2 linked regions of the Arabidopsis thaliana genome follow. The protein of the gene in region 1 interacts with the protein of each later gene in a pairwise test. Each region holds a gene or a part of one and is shown in the gene's direction. Other genes may lie near its edges.

The links. Proteins that work in one complex are often made in the same cells at the same time.
Region 2: the proteins of AT5G38990 (region 1) and AT2G32380 interact in a protein complementation assay, tested with the Arabidopsis thaliana proteins (one large-scale study listed by BioGRID).

The regions. Positions count from the first base shown.
Region 1 is NC_003076.8:15,606,468-15,612,368, forward strand, and holds AT5G38990 (Malectin/receptor-like protein kinase family protein), read left to right. Parts: upstream 1-2,217; 5' UTR 2,218-2,356; coding exon 2,357-4,999; 3' UTR 5,000-5,197; downstream 5,198-5,901. Other genes in the region: AT5G38980 (uncharacterized protein), read left to right, coding at 360-638; AT5G39000 (Malectin/receptor-like protein kinase family protein), read left to right, coding at 5,393-5,901.
Region 2 is NC_003071.7:13,745,620-13,749,835, reverse strand, and holds AT2G32380 (Transmembrane protein 97, Putative), read left to right. Parts: upstream 1-2,025; 5' UTR 2,026-2,105; coding exon 2,106-2,429; intron 2,430-2,861; coding exon 2,862-3,044; 3' UTR 3,045-3,270; downstream 3,271-4,216. Other genes in the region: GLR3.5 (glutamate receptor 3.5), read left to right, coding at 1-144, 254-285, 406-815, 892-1,368; HDG3 (homeodomain GLABROUS 3), read right to left, coding at 3,996-4,216.

The DNA.
Region 1 (5,901 bases):
ATTTGACTTTTTAATCCTTAAAGAGATAAATTAATTTATTCTTTAAAATTTTATTTCTAATGGCATACCTATGTAATTACTTACAAAAATTAAGGTTACATTTAAAATGTACTTCCCAAATAATATAGTAGGATAATTATAAAAAAAAAAAACTTAACAAAACCAATAAAAATGTGTATTATATATTTGTTTTCAAATAATTGTTTTCGCTAGGGGATCAATTATTTTGTATTAAATATGGACCAACCAAAGTAATCAGTCTACCCCTATATTTACGTTCCCTATCCATTATCGACAAAAAGCAATCACTCCTCAAGCAAATCACTCCTCACACCACAGAAAAACAAATAATTGAAGAAATGAAGTCAATAGTCTTCTTCTTCCTCCTCCTGCTCTTTGCCGTAGCAACCTCCGATAACGTGATAAATGGTTGGTATAATCTCACAGCCGTCCATGACGATGAAGTGATTTGGAGTTCTTTTGCGGCGCCAATGATGAAAGGTGGTTCGTCGTACATAACCTATCCGGTCTTGCGACCTCAGCAGGCATGTAATCCTTGTAGTGGAGCCGTTAAATATGCCAAGAAGAAGAATTGTCTTGTCTACACCAGATGCAAACGCTTTCCTAAGGGCATGTAACATACTCCTTATATATTCTCTATGTTTCAGTTTGTGTCGTTCTAAGCGTTTGGGAAATAACTTGCTTGTAACAAAATGTACGGTGTCTGTTTGTTGCCAAATTATTGAGTGTTGTTTCTTAATAATTTTCTTTAAAGTCAGCGAAGTAATTATTCTATAAAAACTAAGAGTTGCTCTATCTAGATATATATACAATTGTGGACTACTTCTTTAAAAATTAAATAAATTGGTAAAGTTTAAAGGTACGTCTCCCAAGCAGAAACTGAACTAAAGAATTCAGGACCAAACTCCTCTGAAGGGAAACACTCAAAAAACAAAAACAAAAAAAGATTCATTTGGTAAACATAATAATAGTGAAGAAAATATAATATGCCAAAAGTGGGTTTTGAACTCATGTCCTTATGGAAGTGCAAGTTTACGTATTAATGTATTATTCAAGTGTACTAATCGCAAGTAAGAAAGGACGAGAAGTTCAGAAGCTGTGTTCGGGATTTGTTGCTTTTCCTTCAGTGTCTCTAGTCTGTTTTAGTTCTCGGATTTTTATTGGTTTATGTCTAAGTGTTGTACGTAGTCTACTTATTCTAATTTTAGATCGTGTTGTTTTAGTGTTTCTTGCTAGTCTCCGAAGTTTCTTTATTCGGCTTTTTCTCCTGAGATACCAAAGTATATTTTAATATGTATATGTTGGCTTTGTTTTATTCGTGTTCTTCGGTCCTTTGATGTATGTTCTCAGCCTTTCGACAACAAATCCAATATATAACTTAGATGACAAAGAAAAGAAATAAAAAACCTCATATCCTTATATACTATCTGAAACTAGCCATTTAAACAACCTTCGCTATTTATTTTACTTAAGCGATGAATGGTAATTGATGTACAAAATCAGACAAGTAGTAAACTTAGGGGTTTTTAGTAAGCTTAGTTCGTATCGAGAATCAATGGACGTAACTTTGAGGTTTAACTCTCCTCCTTAACACTTTTTATGATATATCAAATCAAATATATTTTTTTACTAAGATTGGTGTTCTTCAATTAATGTTTCATCTCTTTTAGGTTCTTTGCACAATAAGTTTTTCATGAGCTATCTAAGTTCTTAGCTTATTTTCTATCTTAATAAAGCTTTCAATCATTGTTATAAACATAATTTTCCTCTTTTAAAATAAACGTATATGTAAATAAGTAATATATTCACAAATAAATATAAAACTTTAAAACTAAGATACTGAAAAATATTTTTGATAGTTTTATAATTAAAAATCAATCTCTTTTTATATCTCAATTGTAAAAAACACTGCAAAACAAACCTCAATATAAACAATATTAGTTATTTTCCACAACCAAATTTTACATTACAAATTTACAATTATATCTTCTAGGCTTGCTAAGTCTAACTAACTGAAGCTCATAGCATGTGGTTTGATTTTAACCTATTTACTGGAACCCTCTAAAATGAACCCAAAGCTCTAAAAGAGTCGAGCTTTTTTGGGTTTGAGTCTGAGGGTAGACTAAAACAACAAATGAGTCAATTTGCGTCATCTTTTAATTCTTGGACCTTAGGCAAATTGACCCCACGGAAGAAAAACTTCATCGATACCTTCTTGTTTTGCTTGACCTGAAAAGTCAATGGTTGACCAAGTGAGTCACTCACCACCCATTAGTCTCTTATCTTCTCAAAATTCTTCAATTCTCTTCTCGTTTTTTTTTTTTTATCAATTCCAATGATCTGTCACGTTTTAGTAATTTTCACTATTCTCGTTTCCGCCGTCGTCGACGCAACGGCGTCGTATGAGCCCACTGATGTCTTTCTCATCAATTGCGGCGATACCTCCAACAACATGGACTACAGTGGCCGGAACTGGACGACGGAGAATCCGAAATTTATGTCATCGAATGCAGTTGACGACGCGTCGTTCACTTCATCTGCGTCATACCAAGAATCAGGGATTCCTCAAGTGCCGTACTTGAAAGCTAGGATTTTCCGATATGATTTCACTTACAGTTTTCCAGTCTCTCCCGGCTGGAAATTCCTCCGGTTATACTTTTATCCGACCCGTTACGGATCCGATTTCGACGCCGTTAAATCCTTCTTCTCCGTCAACGTCAACCGTTTCACTCTCTTGCATAACTTCAGTGTAAAAGCTTCCATACCGGAGTCAAGTTCTCTAATCAAAGAGTTTATCGTTCCGGTTAACCAAACTCTTGATCTCACGTTCACGCCCTCTCCGAATTCATTAGCTTTCGTTAACGGAATCGAGATTATCTCCATGCCTGACCGGTTTTACTCAAAGGGAGGATTTGACGACGTTGTAAGAAACGTTGGTAGGGACGTTGACTTCGAGATAGACAACTCCACGGCTTTCGAGACCGTTTATCGGGTAAACGTAGGTGGAAAAGTGGTGGGCGACGTCGGAGATTCGGGAATGTTCCGGCGTTGGCTTTCCGATGAAGGTTTCTTACTCGGTATTAATTCGGGAGCCATTCCGAATATAACAGGTGTAAAGATCAACTACACGGATAAAACTCCCGCGTACGTTGCGCCGGAAGATGTATACACGACGTGTCGCCTGATGGGGAACAAAGACAGTCCTGAGCTAAACCTGAATTTCAACCTGACGTGGCTCTTTGAAGTCGATGCCGGGTTTGCCTATATAGTGAGGCTTCATTTCTGTGAGACGCAACCGGAAGTCAACAAAACGGGTGACCGCGTCTTCTCCATCTTCTTCGGATATCAACTGGCCATGCGTGAAATGGACGTGTTTCGGCTGAGTGGTGGTTTTCGGCTACCGATGTATCTAGATTTCAAGGTACTTGTCGACGCCGACGGAACTAGCCAGAGACCTAGTCTTCGAGTTGACTTGACACCTTACAAAGAGGACTATCCAACCTATTACGACGCTATTTTGAGTGGTGTAGAGATTCTCAAGCTGAGTAATTCTGATGGTAATCTTGCGGGGCTTAATCCAATTCCTCAACTAAGTCCACCACCACAATCTATAACGCCACTAAAAGGAAAAGGCAAGTCATCACATGTTTTGCCAATAATAATTGCAGTGGTTGGTTCTGCAGTTGCGCTAGCGTTTTTTGTTCTTGTTGTTGTCCTCGTTGTTATGAAGAGAAAGAAGAAGAGCAACGAGTCTAGTGTAGATACCACGAACAAGCCTTCTACGAACTCGTCATGGGGTCCTCTTCTGCACGGGACAGGCTCTACAAATACAAAATCTGCCTCATCTCTTCCATCAGATCTCTGCCGTCGATTCTCCATCTACGAAATCAAATCCGCCACAAATGATTTCGAGGAAAAACTAATCATAGGAGTAGGCGGGTTTGGTTCTGTCTACAAAGGACGAATAGACGGTGGAGCCACACTTGTTGCGGTTAAACGGCTGGAAATTACATCGAACCAAGGTGCTAAAGAGTTCGATACAGAGCTCGAGATGCTTTCAAAGCTTCGACATGTACACCTCGTCTCTCTAATCGGATATTGCGATGACGACAACGAGATGGTACTTGTCTATGAGTATATGCCACATGGTACACTTAAAGATCATCTTTTCAGGAGAGACAAGGCCTCTGATCCTCCATTGTCATGGAAACGAAGGCTAGAGATTTGCATTGGAGCAGCTCGTGGATTACAGTATCTTCATACTGGAGCCAAGTACACGATCATACATAGAGACATCAAAACCACAAACATACTTCTCGATGAGAACTTCGTCGCTAAAGTATCTGACTTTGGTTTATCAAGAGTTGGTCCTACTAGTGCTTCTCAAACGCATGTCTCCACCGTCGTTAAAGGAACGTTTGGTTACTTGGATCCCGAGTACTATCGCCGTCAAATCTTGACCGAAAAATCCGACGTGTACTCTTTTGGAGTTGTTCTGTTGGAGGTTTTGTGCTGTAGACCGATCAGAATGCAAAGTGTTCCACCGGAACAAGCAGATTTGATCCGATGGGTGAAGTCAAATTTCAATAAAAGAACCGTTGATCAGATCATTGACTCAGATTTAACCGCTGATATCACTTCGACCTCGATGGAGAAGTTTTGTGAGATAGCCATTAGATGTGTTCAAGACCGTGGTATGGAACGGCCACCGATGAACGACGTTGTTTGGGCGCTTGAGTTTGCTCTTCAGCTTCACGAGACTGCTAAGAAGAAGAATGACAACGTGGAGTCTCTGGATCTAATGCCAAGTGGTGAAGTTGGTACGACCACGGACGGAGAAGATGACTTGTTTAGTAGGACTACAGGACACGTTGGGAAATCGACCACGACCGATGACTCTGTTCTAGTTGTTGGTGATGAGAGGAGTGGTTCGAGTTGGGGAGTATTTTCGGAGATCAATGAACCTAAAGCACGGTAGATTTGATGGCTTGGTAAACAAGTATCACATTCTGGTTAGGGTTGATATATATTTGTGTATGTATAATTGTTGAATAAACACATTATTGTATTTAAATTACATTTTGATGATTATTTAGCAGCTTAAATTTAGATATTATATACTTGCTTTTATTTGACCAGAGATAAAGTTGGATTTTTTTTTGGCGGTTCGTAACGGTTGAGAATATGTTTGACATTTGTCTCAAAATGCAATCAAAAAAGTTTTGCAATATAAAATTTTGTTAAATACAGTCGTTAAAAAAAACAAAATTGTTAAATAAGTTCCTTCGCCATTTCACGTGGCTCTTAAGTCATAACCTAGTTATGAAAAATGAAAAACACCTAATCTTTTCTTTTTCAACTTCAATACCAAATGATCCGTCACGCTTTGTTAATATTCTCTATTCTCGTTTCCACCCCCATAGTAGGAGAAGGAGCAACGTCGACGTATGAACCCACCGATGTCTTTCTCTTCAACTGCGGCGACACTTCAAACAACGTCGACGTTAGTGGCCGAAACTGGACGGCGGAAAATCAGAAAATTCTATCGTCAAATTTAGTCAACGCTTCGTTCACTGCACAAGCGTCATACCAAGAATCAGGAGTTTCTCAGATTCCGTACATGACAGCTCGAATATTCCGATCTGAGTTCACCTACAGTTTTCCAGTCACTCCCGGTTCAAATTTTCTCCGGTTATACTTTTACCCGACCCGATACGGTTCCCAATTCAACGCCGTCAAATCCTTCTTCTCCGTCAAAGTCAACGGCTTCACTCTCTTGAACAACTTCAGCGCTGACTTAACGGTAAAAGCATCTAAACCGCAAACGGAGTTTATAATCAAAGAGTTTATTATTCCGGTTTACCAAACGTTGAATCTCAC
Region 2 (4,216 bases), on another chromosome or scaffold:
CTTCTTGAAGCCATTCACTATAGAGATGTGGGCTGTGACCGGTGCCCTTTTTCTCTTTGTTGGAGCCGTCATCTGGATTCTTGAACATCGATTTAACGAAGAATTCCGCGGACCTCCTAGGCGTCAAATCATTACAGTCTTCTGGTTAGTTCCATACAATTATTGAATCGACACAAAACTCATATGTATTAGTTTAAGCTCAAGTGCTAAAGCTTTGCTTTACCCCCTTCCTTTCTCGTCTTCAATATTGCAGGTTTAGCTTCTCAACAATGTTCTTCTCTCACAGTATGCACACAATTACATTTAAGATCATACGAAAACATCAAAGAGAAGAAACTCTCGGTTCTTTTCTTTTGTTACCAAGGTCGCAAGGTGTTTTATTCTTCTTCCTTTGTTGATCTTCAGGGGAGAATACGGTGAGCACGTTGGGAAGGTTTGTGCTACTCGTATGGTTATTTGTGGTTCTAATCATCAACTCAAGCTACACAGCCAGTCTCACTTCAATCCTCACCGTTCAACAGCTAACATCTCGGATAGAAGGAATGGACACTTTAATAGCAAGCAACGAACCCATTGGAGTCCAAGATGGTACCTTTGCGTGGAAATTTCTGGTCAATGAACTTAACATAGCTCCATCAAGAATCATTCCGCTTAAAGACGAAGAAGAATATCTCTCTGCTCTTCAACGTGGTCCCAGAGGCGGTGGCGTGGCAGCCATTGTCGACGAGCTTCCTTACATTAAAGCTCTCTTGTCAAACAGCAACTGCAAGTTTCGAACAGTTGGACAGGAATTCACTCGGACAGGCTGGGGATTTGTATGTGAAAACCAACTTCAATTTTTTAAGATCAGTCTCTGTTAAAACTTTGCTTAATGGATCTCGATTCTTGCAGGCGTTCCAGAGAGACTCTCCTCTAGCTGTGGACATGTCGACAGCGATCCTGCAACTGGCTGAAGAAGGAAAACTCGAGAAAATCCGCAAGAAATGGCTTACCTACGACCACGAATGTACAATGCAGATTTCAGATACAGAAAACTATCAAATATCGGTACAGAGTTTCTGGGGACTCTTCCTAATATGTGGCGTCGTTTGGTTCATTGCACTCACACTCTTCTGCTGGAAAGTTTTCTGGCAATACCAACGGTTAAGACCAGAAGAGAGTGATGAAGTACAGGCGAGGAGCGAGGAGGCTGGTTCTTCTAGAGGGAAAAGTTTGAGAGCAGTGAGTTTCAAGGATTTGATCAAAGTTGTTGATAAGAGAGAAGCAGAGATTAAGGAGATGCTTAAGGAGAAGAGCAGTAAGAAACTCAAAGATGGCCAAAGTTCAGCTGAGAATTCGCAGTCGAAAGATCACGAAACTCCACAGTGAGATATATAATAACGAGTTACACAATTTGTTTAATGACTGCAGATATAACATTACACTTAGAAAGGTACATAGATTTATTACATAGATAGAGATAAAAATGCAAAACAATTTCCCTACCATCTTGCAAGACGAACAAGTGAACTGAGTCATGGTTTCAATACCAAGTAGTCTCAACATTTTAAAAGATCTAAAACGTAACACTAAGAAATGTACCTTGCTAAAGAATTTGCTTAAGGCAATGCAAGGTTGTAACTTGCAAGTGTGTTTACGAATATGATTCCTCCAAGGCGTGAGAGATAAGGAATTTTGAAATGATCATGTCTTTAGACTCCCTGAAAAATAAAAAATAAAACATCTGCAAATTCAAGAGTCGAAAGTTATTAGAACCGTAGAGTTCACATTTTTCTAGACTATGTAGAGGATGTGAAACTTATTCAAATGTTTAGAACTTAAGATTTTGTAACAGATCATGGGCTCTCTTAATTAGTGTAGTCCTTCGGGTGACTATTTTTTCTGGATACTATATACATCCTCCGAGGAAGATTATGGGCCTAAGGCCCGGTAGTGTTCGAATTTACCACTGAATCAAACCGGAAAAATGGTAGCCGTTTAAACCGGTTCGCTTTAATTTAGATTTGGCCAATTATTAAGTAGCCGGCTCTTCGTTTCCGCGGTCAACGACAGATTAAAGCAGAGAGAAAAACAAAATCCATTGAAGAAGGAGAAGAAGAAAAAAAATGGGAGCATTTTGCAAGTTGATCGATGCGGTTCTCTTCTTATACTTTGCTCTCATGGCGGTAATTGCGCCGCTTATCGACGGTCAAACGAGTCTTCCCGGCGATATCTTCCCGGCGTTTATCGTCGATCTGAATCGCTGGTACATTGATGAATTTGGAGATTATCTAGTCAAAGAGAAGCCGCATTTCCTAGTCGGACTCGTCTGGCATGAGCTTTTGCTTCTTTGGCCGCTCTCAATCGTCAACGTCTACGCAATTCTCGCTGGGAAATCGTGGTTTGGTACCACCTCAATGGTGTACGGAGCTTCCGTCGTGACTTCTATGGTACATTTAGATCTTAATCTCGCTGTTTCTGATCAATTTGGATATAACGTGTTTGATTTAGAGTAAGATTTTGTTGATTTATGGATCTGAAATCTGAGATTAATGAAGATTATAGGAGAAATGATTATTGGTGATCAATGTTAAAGTCTGTGAAACTGGACCATTACAAAGTATGAACTAGGAGCAGACTAGTGAAATTTGTATAATGCTTGATTCAAGATTTCATTTGGTTCCCTAAAATCACAACATTGTATGTTGATGAGGGAGAGAGATTTTGAGTTTCTACTATGTTGAATGACTAGTTTCATGGTTATTAGAATTAGTAACGTTATCGAACTTATACTTATTGTTCTGCAATGTGAATCTTTCCGCATTCATTGCTAATATGCCTTGTGATGAAGAATCTGATATTGAGTATTCATTACTTATTAGGCTGCTATACTGGGAGAGATGATAGGATCAGGGAAGGCATCTGAGAAATTGTTGATGATGTATGTGCCATTCATGGGTGTTGGTATTCTAGCTCTTCTTCGTGGTCTTCTTTCTCAATCCAACAAAAGTGGTGGAGCTGTTGGCAAGAGACCTGCTATTTTGGCCAGGAGAAAGCGTGCTTGAGGTACACTTGATGATCAGCAAGTGTATCTTTTGACTCTGAGAATTTCTGCTATAGGTGGATTTGGCTTTTCAAACAGAAAATTTTGAACCTTTGTGATGTATTCTTCCTGTTTTTTTAGCAATATCATGTCATCTGTGTTCTTGTTTGAAATTAAATGAAGTTAAACTGAAAATATTTTACAGTTCACTTCACCAAAAGGTCTACATTGTTGGGTCTTGACAAATCACACGTTGTGATTCCCATTCCCAAAAGGTCTACATGTTCAGCACAGATTTCTTAGTCTTGTTGGGTTTGGTCAATCTAAAACCATAGGCAACGCGCAACAGCCAAAAACTCTTTAAGCTCTCTTGCAAAACAGAGAGTCTTGGGAAGAAAAGGTGTGAAGTTTTGATAAACCAAACTACAGAAATAGACAACAAAAACAATACAAAAGAAATATCCATACTCTAGAAGAAGATCTAAAGTCAATAGAAAGAAAACAAAAAACAAATTTGAAACTCAAATAGAGAAAAAGAGTACTCAATAACTTCATAAAGGTTTCCAAGTCCAACAATGACAAGGAAACAAACAGACTCAACTGAAACAACGAAAGGTTCCATGTCCAACAATGACAAGGAAACAAACAGACTCAACTGAAATAACAAAAGGTTTCCAAGTCCAACAATGACAAGGAAACCAAAGACTCGAATGAAATAACAAAAGGTTCCAAGTCCAACAATGACAAGGAAACCAAAGACTCAACTGAAATAGCAAAAGGTTCCAAGTCCAAACAATGACAAGGAAACAAAAGACTCAAATGAAAGGAAAAGATAGTTGTTTTTTCCATCTTGAATGGGTTTATTCCAGGGCTAGTCAAATCCCGAACCTCGTAAAAAACCAATCTCCTTGAGGTTCGTTCTTGACTCCTCCCCTTTTGAAGCTCTCCAATAGATTACCGAAATGGGGGTGGTTCAAGCAGTCTGACAAGGAAACAAATCTTTGATCCTCCGCACGGTTGTACGAATCAGATTCTCAGTAGTTGCAACAGAGCTAACACTCAGCCTAGCCTCAGGACCTGACTCAACCAGCATTTGGAAGGAAATGGTCAAAAGTGATCCTCCTTCTTTTCCTCCAGGCTTACCCGTACCATCTGGAAAAATAGCAAAACCAGAAGGCAGGATCACCACAAAGT